2 linked regions of the Arabidopsis thaliana genome follow. The protein of the gene in region 1 interacts with the protein of each later gene in a pairwise test. Each region holds a gene or a part of one and is shown in the gene's direction. Other genes may lie near its edges.

The links.
Region 2: the proteins of LUT1 (region 1) and RPK2 interact in a protein complementation assay, tested with the Arabidopsis thaliana proteins (one large-scale study listed by BioGRID).

Annotation. Positions count from the first base shown.
Region 1 is NC_003074.8:19,690,989-19,698,092, forward strand, and holds LUT1 (Cytochrome P450 superfamily protein), read left to right. Parts: upstream 1-1,768; 5' UTR 1,769-1,823; coding exon 1,824-2,321; intron 2,322-2,470; coding exon 2,471-2,767; intron 2,768-2,856; coding exon 2,857-3,054; intron 3,055-3,143; coding exon 3,144-3,245; intron 3,246-3,343; coding exon 3,344-3,484; intron 3,485-3,553; coding exon 3,554-3,661; intron 3,662-3,822; coding exon 3,823-3,905; intron 3,906-4,002; coding exon 4,003-4,165; intron 4,166-4,260; coding exon 4,261-4,290; 3' UTR 4,291-4,703; coding exon of another isoform or gene 4,704-5,081; intron 5,082-5,190; coding exon of another isoform or gene 5,191-5,527; intron 5,528-5,635; coding exon of another isoform or gene 5,636-5,700; intron 5,701-6,067; coding exon of another isoform or gene 6,068-6,367; 3' UTR 6,368-6,554; downstream 6,555-7,104. Other genes in the region: VPS37-1 (Modifier of rudimentary (Mod(r)) protein), read right to left, coding at 1-102, 194-240, 328-367, 798-885, 980-1,162, 1,489-1,502; AT3G53140 (O-methyltransferase family protein), read left to right, coding at 4,704-5,081, 5,191-5,527, 5,636-5,700, 6,068-6,367; UGT73D1 (UDP-glucosyl transferase 73D1), read right to left, coding at 6,748-7,104. UniProt on the Arabidopsis thaliana protein: Heme-containing cytochrome P450 involved in the biosynthesis of xanthophylls. Specific for epsilon- and beta-ring hydroxylation of alpha-carotene. Has only a low activity toward the beta-rings of beta-carotene.
Region 2 is NC_003074.8:378,359-385,103, forward strand, and holds RPK2 (receptor-like protein kinase 2), read left to right. Parts: upstream 1-1,991; 5' UTR 1,992-2,367; coding exon 2,368-5,823; 3' UTR 5,824-6,224; downstream 6,225-6,745. Other genes in the region: AT3G02125 (pinin-like protein), read left to right, coding at 1-625, 736-1,024.

The DNA of each region.
Region 1 (7,104 bases):
AGAACCAGGGGAGTAGAATTTGAGGATCTCTTCTTTTTGCCTCTCAAGCTCATTAAGCTTTTCTTGCGCAGTTGCGAGCTCAGTTGTACGGATAATTCTGCACTGTAAAATAAGTAAAGACTGGTAAATCAGAGATATCGAAAAGGTATAACATGGTAAAACTGAACAAGAAAAGTTGGTTCTTGATACACACTTGGTTTCTGAGCTCCATTATCTGTGGCTCCTTCTCCAAGTTGTCTCCTGTTACATTTGATCAAATGGAAAGTTCTAGATTTCTGGATTGAACTAAAGTTTCCTGTAGAATTACATGAACCATAGAGTACTTACTAGCTAGCTGCAATGTTTCTCTACGGAGCTCATCTTTGATCTGACGGACAGAAACAAATCACGAAAAAATTAACGTCCAGAGACTATAACAAGGAACCAGAAAGCTGATGACATGATACAGGCTTTATCAAACAATATCAATGTATAGACTTGAAAGAGCACTAATGAATTATATCAACACAGAACTAAAGAAGCTACATATTCTTAGAGCTACAGATAAGACCCTCGGTTATCCAGAAACAACCGACTGTTTTAGAGACTATAACAAAGAACCAGAAAGCTCTAATTACTGGCAACATGTAGAAGATGACGCCATGATAAAGGCTTCCTCAAACAATATCAATGTATATACTTGAAAGAGCACCAATGAATAATATCAACACATAACTAACGAAGCTCCATTCTTAGGACTACAATTAATAGTAATACTCTTAGCTATCCAGAAACAACTGACTGTTTTAGAGACTTACATTATTCTGGACTTTGACCTGGTCAAGAGAGAGCAGAAATTGCTGATACGCATCTTTGTCAGAGAGAAGCTTCCTGAGTTCATCCACGCTACAGAAAAGTATACACTATTCAAAAAGAAGACATACAAAAAAAACGCACACTCGAGAGAAGGATAACAAACAAACAAACAAAAAGAGCAAACCTTTTGTCTTTCAAGAAGACGATAATGCCAGCTGCTTCACCCGGTGATACTTGTGCTGAAATCTGACCTGAACTTTGAGGCCGGGATGAGCTTGGCGAGCTAACTAAAGAAGGCGAGTACCATGGCGACTGTGAAGAAGCTTCCTGAGGACGAGATTGCCCTTGTTGTTGGTCTTTTGATCCCCTTCACGTACACAACAAAAAAAAGAAACATCATCAACTAACTATCTCAGCTTCCAAGTTAATATAATACATCACCTCATAAACTTGAAAGGTGCATTTATACAGCACATCATTGTAAACCTAATATCAGTAACTATGAACCCTAAATCAGTAGCTGAGCAAAATCTACACTTGTCAATTCACCTCAAAAACCTCAAATATATCATTATAGCTCAACAAACTACACAACAACAAGATTTCCTTAATCGCTAACAGACCTAATGTCTGGATCACGCAATTTCATCAATAACATATGAATCAGATGGCAAAAAATTCGCAAAATCATACCAGAAATTGAACATCGTTTCTAGAATTCGCCGACTAACGAAAGGAATTGACTTTTTCTTGTTCTCTTGTACTTCTTCTTCCTACCAGATCGACAAAATTTAACAACTTTACAGAAACAGAGTTTACAGAGTTTCAAAGAAAATTCGATCTTCTCTGTTTCGTTTCAGATTTTGCTACTTGCTTTTAAAAGGCCCAAATACGAGGAGGCCCATATTAAGTTTTGATTAACAAAACGTAGTCGTTTTATGCATCGTCGTCCTTATCCACGCGTAACGGTTCGCGTTTCTACACAGAGTCAAATATTTCTGCACGGAAGCTTCGAAAAGAGGTCATCAATGGAGTCTTCACTCTTTTCTCCATCTTCCTCTTCTTACTCTTCTCTCTTCACTGCAAAACCTACGCGTCTTTTATCACCAAAACCCAAATTCACATTCTCCATCAGATCCTCCATTGAGAAACCCAAACCCAAACTCGAGACCAATTCATCGAAATCCCAATCATGGGTCAGTCCCGATTGGCTCACAACACTCACTCGTACCCTTTCCTCAGGAAAAAACGACGAGTCAGGTATACCAATCGCGAACGCGAAGCTCGACGATGTCGCTGATCTCCTCGGAGGTGCTCTCTTCTTACCTCTCTACAAATGGATGAATGAGTACGGACCCATTTACCGTCTCGCTGCTGGTCCTCGTAATTTCGTAATTGTGAGCGACCCAGCGATAGCTAAACATGTTTTGAGGAATTATCCAAAGTACGCTAAAGGCTTAGTCGCTGAAGTCTCTGAATTTCTATTTGGTTCGGGTTTCGCTATCGCTGAAGGACCTCTTTGGACAGTAATTTCATCTCCTCCTATCTCAATTTTGAAGTTTTTGGAATTGTGGAAGTAATGTGTGACTGTCTTGTATGATAAGTAACTCTAATTTTAGGGTTTAGATTCCAATCTTCTCTATTGGGCTTAGCTGAAGTCTGATTTTTTACATAGGCGAGGCGTAGAGCGGTGGTTCCATCGCTTCACAGGAGGTATTTGTCTGTGATTGTGGAGAGAGTATTCTGCAAATGTGCAGAGAGGCTTGTTGAGAAGTTGCAGCCTTATGCAGAAGACGGAAGTGCTGTGAATATGGAAGCGAAGTTCTCTCAGATGACACTTGATGTCATTGGGTTGTCTCTTTTTAACTACAATTTCGATTCTTTGACTACTGATAGTCCTGTCATTGAAGCTGTTTACACTGCTCTTAAAGAAGCTGAGCTTCGTTCTACTGATCTTCTGCCATATTGGAAGGCAAGTTTCCTGTGTTTTTTCTGTGGTTTGTTGATTGTGTGGAACAATTGGATTCTTGTTAATTGAGAGGGTTTGGTTGTTTTTTTCAGATCGATGCATTGTGTAAGATAGTCCCGAGACAGGTGAAAGCTGAAAAGGCTGTAACTTTGATAAGGGAAACTGTTGAAGACCTTATTGCTAAGTGTAAAGAAATTGTCGAAAGAGAAGGCGAAAGAATCAATGATGAGGAGTATGTAAATGATGCTGACCCAAGTATCCTGCGTTTCTTGCTTGCAAGCAGAGAAGAGGTTTAAACTTTTTTCCTTAAGTTTATAAGCAAATTTGGCCTTTCATTATCGCATAATCGAAGCTGATGTTGCATTGTGAGGGTTTTCAGGTATCAAGTGTGCAGTTACGGGATGATCTTCTCTCAATGCTCGTAGCGGGTCATGAAACCACTGGATCTGTCCTCACTTGGACACTTTATCTCCTAAGTAAGGTACCTTAATGTATCTTCTACTTTGCTATGCTAGAGAATTTACTTGGATGGGAGCTTCTCTGTTCTCATTTACCTCTTCAAATTCTCTATGTTCATAGAACTCATCTGCATTAAGGAAAGCACAAGAAGAAGTAGACAGAGTGTTAGAAGGAAGAAACCCGGCTTTCGAGGATATAAAGGAGTTGAAGTACATCACTCGTTGTATAAACGAGTCAATGCGTCTCTATCCTCATCCTCCTGTAAGCAATCAAGCTCATCTCTCTAATTATTCATGAACTAAATTTTCTGATTGATTTGTTTCCTGGTAGGTCTTGATAAGAAGAGCTCAAGTTCCTGACATTCTTCCTGGGAACTATAAGGTCAATACCGGACAAGACATTATGATTTCAGTCTATAACATCCATCGTTCTTCCGAGGTACAGTTCTCTTCCTTCTCTCGTCCATAGTATAACATAGGGGAGCCTAATCCTTCTCTTCAATGATCTTTGTGTGGTTCGGATATCTAACCGGAGTGGACATTCCTAGTATTACATTCATGCCCACATTTCTTATGTGTTTGTTGTTTGTTATTCCAAAGGTATGGGAAAAAGCTGAGGAATTTCTGCCTGAACGATTCGACATAGATGGCGCAATCCCTAACGAAACAAACACTGATTTCAAGTAAACTCAGTAGAACACATCTTTTGACACAAACTACTGAATCAAGATTAGTGGTTTTGATTAGGGAATTTAAAAGATGATTTTCTTTTTTCACCAGATTCATCCCATTCAGTGGAGGGCCTAGAAAATGTGTAGGCGATCAGTTTGCATTGATGGAGGCAATTGTGGCACTCGCGGTGTTTCTTCAGCGGTTAAACGTTGAGCTGGTTCCTGATCAGACCATTAGCATGACCACAGGAGCAACCATACACACCACCAATGTATGCCAATGTTCTCACACTCGAGAGATTAATGAGAGTGTCTGTTTTGTTTAGAATGATTCCAATTTCTCTAATGCTGATATTTTCAATTTCAGGGATTGTATATGAAGGTGAGCCAAAGGTAAAAACCAGAATTTATGTTTTCATGATAATTGATTGGTGTGAATGGACTTGTTTCATAGTACTCTTGAGAAATAACCACAAAAAAATGAATTATGGAAAATAGTTGTACCATCGGAAATGTGAATTTTGAACAGTGAGATGCTAGTACCATTAAAGTTTGGTAATTGTGTTATCATTTCAAATCAAACTTTCATACAGCTTGTGTTTGTTCTCCATTTTTCAGTAATTACGAAAATCAAAATTTTATTTTTTTTTGAATTTCTAAATAATAGACTAAGGTCTAAAACCATCCCATTCCATATGGACCACACGTAACATTAACCTTAAAAACCATATAAAACCATATAAAACCAATACTAGTGGGTTCTATAGCGATGTGTAGTTTCACTTTCACGTACGAGGAAGATTAAAAAAAATGGAGAACGAAAGCTCAGAGAGTAGAAACAGAGCTCGTCTTGCCATTATGGAGCTTGCTAACATGATTAGCGTTCCCATGTCTCTCAATGCCGCCGTGCGACTAGGCATTGCCGACGCCATTTGGAACGGCGGAGCCAATTCTCCTCTCTCTGCCGCCGAGATCCTCCCTCGCCTCCACCTACCATCTCACACTACCATTGGTGGCGACCCCGAGAATCTTCAGCGTATACTTCGGATGCTCACCAGCTACGGTGTCTTCTCCGAACACCTTGTTGGATCCATTGAGAGGAAATACTCTCTTACGGACGTCGGAAAAACTCTTGTAACCGACTCCGGCGGCCTCTCTTACGCTGCCTACGTCCTCCAACATCACCAGGTTTATGACTCATTTTCATTTTCCAAAATTGGAGTGATATATTAAAGGACTAATGATGGTATAATAAACTAATGTCTAAAACTTGTTGTGAAAATGATATATATTACAGGAGGCGTTGATGCGAGCATGGCCACTAGTTCACACGGCAGTGGTGGAGCCGGAGACAGAGCCGTACGTGAAAGCAAACGGCGAGGCGGCATACGCTCAGTATGGGAAAAGTGAGGAGATGAATGGTCTAATGCAAAAGGCAATGTCTGGCGTATCTGTACCGTTCATGAAAGCTATATTAGACGGCTACGATGGGTTTAAATCAGTGGATATTTTGGTTGACGTAGGAGGTAGTGCAGGGGATTGTCTGCGTATGATCCTTCAACAATTTCCTAACGTCCGTGAAGGGATTAATTTCGATTTACCTGAAGTTGTTGCCAAAGCCCCCAATATTCCTGGTGAGATTTTGTATTTATGATATATTGTACGTACGTTATTTTCTGAAAGTAAAAAGCTATTTTTAGTAATGTACGGAGTAATAATGGATGATATATTGTATGGTTTAGGAGTGACTCACGTGGGTGGGGATATGTTCCAATCAGTTCCTAGCGCTGACGCTATCTTCATGAAGGTTTGTTGTAACATTATTGTCTGTCACGAGAATACACCTACTAACATTTTTGCTAATAGGACGAATTCTAGTTTCTGTATATAGTTTTAATGTTTAGTGATATAGGTATAAATTTATAAGTCGCTTCGGACAATATGTTTGGTAGTATATAGTCTTAGTTATCGTTAGATCATGCGACTGGTCACTTTCATTTATTTATGATCATTTAAATATTGATTATACATTTCTCAAACCAAAAACTTGTGATCTGTTAGACCATGGATAGGGATCTCATGTTTGTTGAAAGAACAACACAAACAAATACACACATTTTTTGCTTCTCTGGTCCCAAATTAATATCTTGTAATATTGTTGTTTGAGTGTAAAGTGGGTGTTAACGACATGGACGGATGAAGAATGCAAGCAGATAATGAAGAATTGCTACAACGCGTTACCAGTTGGAGGAAAGCTGATTGCGTGTGAGCCGGTCTTGCCTAAGGAAACCGATGAAAGTCACCGGACTCGTGCCTTGTTAGAAGGTGACATCTTTGTCATGACCATCTATAGAACCAAAGGTAAGCATAGAACCGAAGAAGAGTTTATAGAGCTTGGTCTCTCCGCGGGATTCCCTACTTTTCGACCTTTCTACATTGATTACTTCTACACCATCTTAGAGTTTCAGAAGTAATATTCAAGCATTTTTCTTCTCATATTTCTAAAAGCTTCAAAATAATGAATCAAAAGACCTCTTTGTTAATTGAGTTGAGATATCTAGTGAAGACATTAATATTTTCATCAAGATGTAATAATCTAAAGTCTATATTCTAAGTGCATCCTTAAAAGGCATTTTCCATATATATAAGTTTCATCTTTCGAGAAAAAGGAAAAAAGACTCTTTAAGTGATGATTTCAAGAGTATTTCTAAATCACTCATTAGGCTAAGAGAAGAGTTCGAAAGTATACATATTATGCACATTATATCTATATGAATTTTTCTTCTTTGGCAAAAAGAAAAATCGTTTGGTGTTATTCTTATAAATCTTATGTCAACTTCTACATTCGATTTTTCTACACGAGACTCAATTGCTCCAAAACATCTTGGATTAAAATTGAAACGTTAATACTCGAAGATCCCTTTTCTTCCACAGCCTTTTTCGCCATTACTGCAAGTTCTTGAATACGTCTCCTTCGTCTCACGAATTCATTATCATCATCATTTTCGTCTACACGTTGACAATCTTGGTCCATCAAAAGCTTTATAGCTTTCACAACACTCGGTTTCTTGACCAACACTCCAAGTCTCTCCTCGTCTCCCCATCTCACCGGAATCTCCACCCCAACCCTAACCCCGATGTTCAAAACCTCCACGATGAGTTTCTCATTGAGAAATTGTTCAGCGAACAACGGCCATGTGATCATTGGTAC
Region 2 (6,745 bases), about 19 Mb from region 1:
AGGCACAGAAACTGAGAGAGTCACATCAGGCTTATAATTCATCTGTTAGCTCATATACCAGTTCCTCTTGGTCCTCAAATCACCAGAACCATCTTATTGATTTACCCGGTTACGATCCAACCAGAATTCCATCCTCAGTTTTCTCTAGTAAACCGGGTAATTCGACGGAATGGAGTCTAGCTTCTAATGAATCTTTGTTTAGCATCCACGATGGGAATTTTAGCATTTCAACAGCGTTGAGATTGGCTGAGATACCGAGATTTGAAGAAACGGTTCACGTGATAACCGAAATCAACTCGGTTCCTCTTCCACCTCCGGTTAAGAAACCAAATGAATATGAGAAAGAGACGATTGCAGAGAAGGAACCATACCAGGTGGAGAACTCAAACTCAGATATTGAGGATAATGAAGAAGAAGAGAAGATGAGTGAAGTCGAGAGCGACGACGAACATGAAGAAGAACAAACAGATATGATCGAAGCGGAGGCTTTAGTAGAGAAAGAAGTAATAGAAACTGTGAAGGAGAATAAACCTGAAGACTCGAACAGTATAGTTTCACATTCTCCGAGCATTTCTTGTCGTTCGGACACTAGCAATAACAGCATTGGTTCTTTCGCATTCCCACTGTAAGTCGTTCTCTTCAAAATCTCAATTTATCGATCCATTTTTGATGATTTCTTGAGCAAGAAGAAACTTTAAAACCCTAATTTTACTTTCTTTGGAATTTATGTAACAGATTGCAAAAAGAAGATGCAGTTACCAAAACGCCGTCTATGCAAATCAAAGGAAACGTTTCCCACAAGCGAAGACCCGAGTATCAGCTGCCTCAATCGCGAATGCTACAGCCACAACAACAACTACAACCTTATTCAGAATCTAATATGCTAACTGAGTCTCAGCCGGAACCACAACCACAAAGGAAGGCATCAAAAAAATTCGAGTCTCGAACGCAATCGCTAAAAGCTTCAAGAACCTGCTGGTTCTCTTGCTTCCATTGTCCTTCAAAATGCGGTTCATTCAAGTAGAGGAGACTTTTAGCGTTTGCGTTTGAAGCGATTCCTCTTCTTATGTGTAAATTGTACGGATGAAAATAGTTGTAAACCAAGAGTGATGATCCAAACCGAGTTCTGGTTTTCAGGATTAACACCATATTTTGGTTCGATTAATTTCGGTTACCGGATGTTGTAAACCGGTTGATGGATGATATAACTCTTATGTCATGGTGATGCATACATACAAGGACCACATTTCATTATTACTTTATTTCAATACGTATCATTATTATAAGTAGTAGCTAAAAGACAGATATATTTCACTAAAAGAAAAACAAACCTTTTTTTCTTCTAATTGAAAAGGTTATAAACTCAGTCTTTTTATCCCCATAAATGTGGCTAATGTGTTGTGTACATGACAAAATTATAAATTTATATTTAAGAAAAAACATTTTAATTTGCTTTATCTTGAAGCTTCCTTTAGTTATATCCTTGAAAAGAGGCGATTCTGTCCCTTTTTCACTTTACAATTTCTCAATATTTTTGTTATAAAGAAACACATCTTTGTCACATGCATTTATGTATAGTGGCAGGCGATTTTTCTTTTAGCGTGAGATTATGAAATTTTCCTAATATAATGCATGTCCATATACATATATCTATCTGTAATAAATGTTAGCTTCAAGATCTTAGCATAACATTGGTCGATGAGAGATTGATACGTCTAGGAGAGTTGAAATATTGTTACATTTATTGTGACTCAACATATTTTATTTCATCACTTCGAATAAACAAAAAATTTAAAATAATCTGTCCTCAAATTTAGTGATAAGATAATCTTGCATCTACCTACTGTTATCAATCATGTACCTATTGCGATTTGATGTGGTGAGACTACAATGATCGATGTTAAAAACTTTTAATGTTAACTTCACTACATGATCGATAAATAATCAAAAATTGCTTCTTCCAAGTTAAAATTACACTAAAGAGTTTGTTAGCCAATAGGAAATAAGGAAAGTGGACCCACTCTCTCATTCACAGAACGATTTTTTATTTTTTTCTGCATAAATTAAATTAAAAACATTTTTAAGATCTTTTATCAAAAAAAAAAAAAAAGAGAGAGAGAAGAAAAAAACGCGTCTTCCTCAGTGACAGTGTTGAATTCTCTCATCTCTTTCTCTCTCTGCTTCATCAGTTTCTCTCACTACAAAGCTTCTCATCATCTCCCTAAATTAGGGTTAAAGGGTCGAGCTTGGGATTGTTTCGCACGGTAAAAGGAAGGATCTTTTGCTCGTCAATTGCTATATTAGCAGACCTTGCGAGGTGGGTTTAGGGTTTTGTTGTAAAAACATTTTTGGGGATAAGTTACGAAGATGACTTCTTTGCCTTCTTCAGTGATCAAATGGCGTTTTTTCCGCAGACAGATGCCTTCAGACGTTGTCTTCTCGCTCTGCTTACTCTGTTTCGCCTCCTGTCTCGCCGGAAAAATCACTGTTTTAGCTGATTCGGACAAATCCGTGTTGCTTCGGTTTAAGAAAACGGTATCGGACCCTGGTTCGATTCTAGCTAGCTGGGTCGAAGAGAGTGAAGATTACTGCTCCTGGTTTGGTGTATCTTGCGATTCGAGCTCTCGAGTCATGGCTCTTAACATTAGTGGCTCTGGAAGTTCTGAAATTAGTCGAAATCGTTTCACTTGTGGTGATATTGGTAAGTTTCCGTTGTATGGGTTTGGTGTTCGGAGGGATTGTACCGGAAATCATGGAGCTTTGGCGGGGAATTTGCCTTCTGTAATCATGAGTCTCACAGGACTTAGGGTTTTGTCTCTGCCTTTTAATTCGTTTAGTGGAGAGATTCCTGTAGGAATCTGGGGAATGGAGAAGCTTGAAGTTCTTGATCTGGAAGGGAATTTGATGACGGGGTCATTGCCGGATCAGTTTACTGGGTTACGGAATTTGCGGGTTATGAATTTGGGGTTTAACAGAGTTTCAGGTGAAATCCCTAATTCGCTGCAGAATCTGACAAAGTTGGAGATTTTGAATTTGGGTGGTAATAAGTTGAATGGAACTGTTCCTGGTTTTGTTGGGAGATTCAGAGTGTTGCATTTGCCGTTAAACTGGCTTCAAGGCTCTTTGCCTAAAGATATTGGGGATAGCTGTGGAAAGCTTGAGCATTTAGATTTGTCTGGTAATTTCTTGACTGGGAGGATTCCAGAGAGTTTGGGGAAATGTGCTGGTTTAAGGTCGTTGTTGTTGTATATGAATACGTTGGAGGAGACTATCCCTTTAGAATTTGGGAGTCTTCAGAAGCTTGAGGTTTTGGATGTTTCTAGGAACACTCTTAGTGGTCCATTACCTGTTGAACTTGGAAATTGCTCTTCGTTGTCTGTTCTCGTTCTATCAAATCTGTACAATGTGTATGAAGACATTAATAGTGTAAGAGGGGAAGCTGATCTTCCTCCAGGCGCTGATTTAACCTCGATGACCGAGGATTTCAATTTCTATCAAGGAGGAATCCCGGAGGAAATCACTAGGCTTCCGAAACTAAAGATACTTTGGGTGCCCAGAGCTACGTTAGAAGGTAGATTTCCAGGAGATTGGGGTTCATGTCAAAACTTGGAGATGGTTAATTTGGGTCAGAACTTCTTTAAAGGCGAAATTCCTGTCGGTCTTAGTAAATGCAAGAACCTTCGTCTTCTTGATTTGAGCTCGAATAGGCTTACTGGGGAGCTTCTCAAAGAGATTTCGGTCCCATGCATGAGTGTTTTTGATGTTGGTGGAAACAGCTTATCGGGTGTAATCCCTGATTTTCTCAACAATACCACAAGCCATTGTCCTCCTGTTGTTTACTTTGACAGGTTTTCTATTGAATCTTACAGCGACCCGTCGTCTGTTTATCTCTCCTTCTTTACCGAGAAGGCTCAAGTTGGAACTTCCCTGATAGATCTTGGAAGTGATGGAGGTCCGGCCGTGTTTCATAATTTTGCAGACAACAACTTCACTGGTACTCTCAAGTCTATACCACTTGCACAGGAGCGGTTGGGAAAGCGAGTCTCTTACATATTTTCTGCTGGAGGGAATCGGTTGTACGGGCAATTTCCGGGAAATCTGTTTGATAACTGCGACGAACTCAAAGCTGTTTATGTCAATGTAAGCTTCAACAAGCTCTCAGGTCGGATTCCTCAGGGACTAAACAACATGTGCACTTCTCTTAAGATTCTTGATGCCTCGGTGAATCAGATCTTCGGGCCAATCCCAACAAGTCTCGGGGATCTAGCTTCACTTGTTGCTCTTAATCTGAGCTGGAATCAGTTGCAAGGTCAGATACCGGGTAGCCTCGGGAAGAAGATGGCAGCTTTGACATATCTTTCGATTGCGAATAACAACCTCACGGGGCAAATTCCTCAGAGCTTTGGTCAGTTACATTCCTTGGATGTTCTTGATCTCTCTTCAAATCATCTATCTGGCGGTATTCCTCATGATTTCGTAAACTTGAAGAATCTCACTGTCCTGCTTCTCAACAATAACAACCTCTCTGGCCCAATCCCGTCGGGTTTTGCGACATTTGCTGTTTTCAATGTTTCCTCCAACAATCTGTCTGGTCCAGTTCCTTCAACCAATGGACTGACGAAATGCAGCACTGTTAGTGGAAACCCCTATCTTCGACCTTGCCATGTGTTTTCTCTGACAACACCGTCTTCGGATTCCCGAGACTCCACGGGTGATTCTATCACGCAGGATTACGCATCTTCGCCTGTTGAAAACGCTCCATCTCAGTCGCCAGGAAAGGGTGGATTCAACTCGCTAGAGATCGCCTCAATCGCATCAGCTTCAGCGATTGTCTCGGTACTAATTGCTCTTGTAATTCTCTTCTTCTACACAAGGAAATGGCATCCGAAATCGAAGATCATGGCCACTACAAAACGAGAAGTCACTATGTTCATGGATATCGGAGTTCCAATAACCTTTGACAACGTGGTTAGAGCCACAGGAAACTTCAACGCAAGCAATCTGATTGGAAATGGTGGATTTGGAGCGACCTACAAAGCAGAAATCTCTCAAGATGTGGTTGTCGCAATCAAACGCCTCTCGATCGGACGGTTTCAGGGAGTCCAACAGTTCCACGCAGAAATCAAAACTCTTGGTAGACTTCGACACCCGAACCTCGTGACTCTCATCGGTTACCACGCTAGCGAAACTGAGATGTTCTTGGTGTACAACTATCTCCCAGGAGGCAACCTCGAGAAATTCATCCAAGAAAGATCCACAAGAGATTGGAGAGTTCTTCATAAGATCGCTCTGGACATAGCTCGAGCACTCGCTTACCTCCACGACCAATGCGTCCCACGGGTGCTTCACCGAGATGTTAAACCGAGTAACATCCTCCTAGATGATGACTGCAATGCGTATTTATCAGATTTCGGGTTAGCGAGATTGCTTGGGACATCGGAAACGCACGCAACAACTGGTGTGGCGGGTACGTTTGGGTATGTAGCTCCCGAGTACGCAATGACATGCAGGGTATCAGACAAAGCAGATGTATACAGCTACGGAGTGGTGCTTCTAGAGCTGCTTTCGGACAAGAAAGCACTTGATCCGTCATTTGTGTCGTATGGTAATGGTTTCAACATAGTGCAATGGGCTTGTATGTTGTTGAGACAAGGAAGGGCAAAGGAGTTTTTCACAGCGGGATTGTGGGACGCAGGTCCGCATGATGATCTAGTAGAGGTTCTGCATTTAGCGGTTGTTTGTACGGTGGATTCTCTGTCGACGAGGCCGACGATGAAGCAAGTTGTAAGACGGTTGAAGCAGCTACAACCTCCGTCGTGTTAGCACCTCCCTCCGCAGGATTTGATTATTATTCTTTCTTTAAAAAAAGTTCTCTCAGTTGTAAACTTGTATGTGTACGTAGTAGTTGTTAGAAGAAGAAAGAGAGGTTGAATTTCCTATGGGTTCTCTCGAGGGTAAAAAGGACATTTGAAAGGGGAAGCCATAGGAAGGTTGATCTCTCTCAGTAAGCAGAAAACCATAAAATGAGAAAGAATTGTTTGTAGCTAATTTGTTTCTCCCACTTGTAAATTGTTTTATACTAAAGTTTTGTGGGAGTTTTTCTTTCTTTTTCGATTTTTAGTATGTTTAAACTGCCGATCCTTTTTGTTTGATTGACATTTCCATTTTGAGAAACTTGGGCTATGGGCCCAATAATATATGCGAATAAAAAAACTCGGGCTATGAGCCCAATATTAACTTAGAAGACCGACAATGCTATCAGTATAATCCCCATAAGAAAGCAATTCCACCCATTTGGGTTTGAATGGTACATCATTGGGTCTTGATTCATGATTGTCGATCTTCTTCGGTAGTGGTCTGGCTTGCTTTGGTTGAGTTGGCATCTTCATCCTTCTTGAAAGACAGCGATGTGAAAGGTTCTTCTATGTATCTAGTATCAAATAGAGCGACTCTCGCTACTACATGCTACTTCCATGAATAGTTAACGCCAAGCGTATTGCTCGATAATAAAGACGAGTATATCCATCCATTGGCTCAACATTTGTGAAACATCCGTTCGTTGAGGCTAACGGTTTCATTTGAAGAATGGAAATTAGAGCTTATAGCCATTAGTGTGTTACGAAAGATCACCGTTATCAATCATATATAGCCCCCTTCTTGGCTCACTTATCGCATTAGTTACAAAGCAGTCCTGACGATCCACAATTAGACTTAGAGAGAAAACTTAGTTCTCTTACCATGGTTT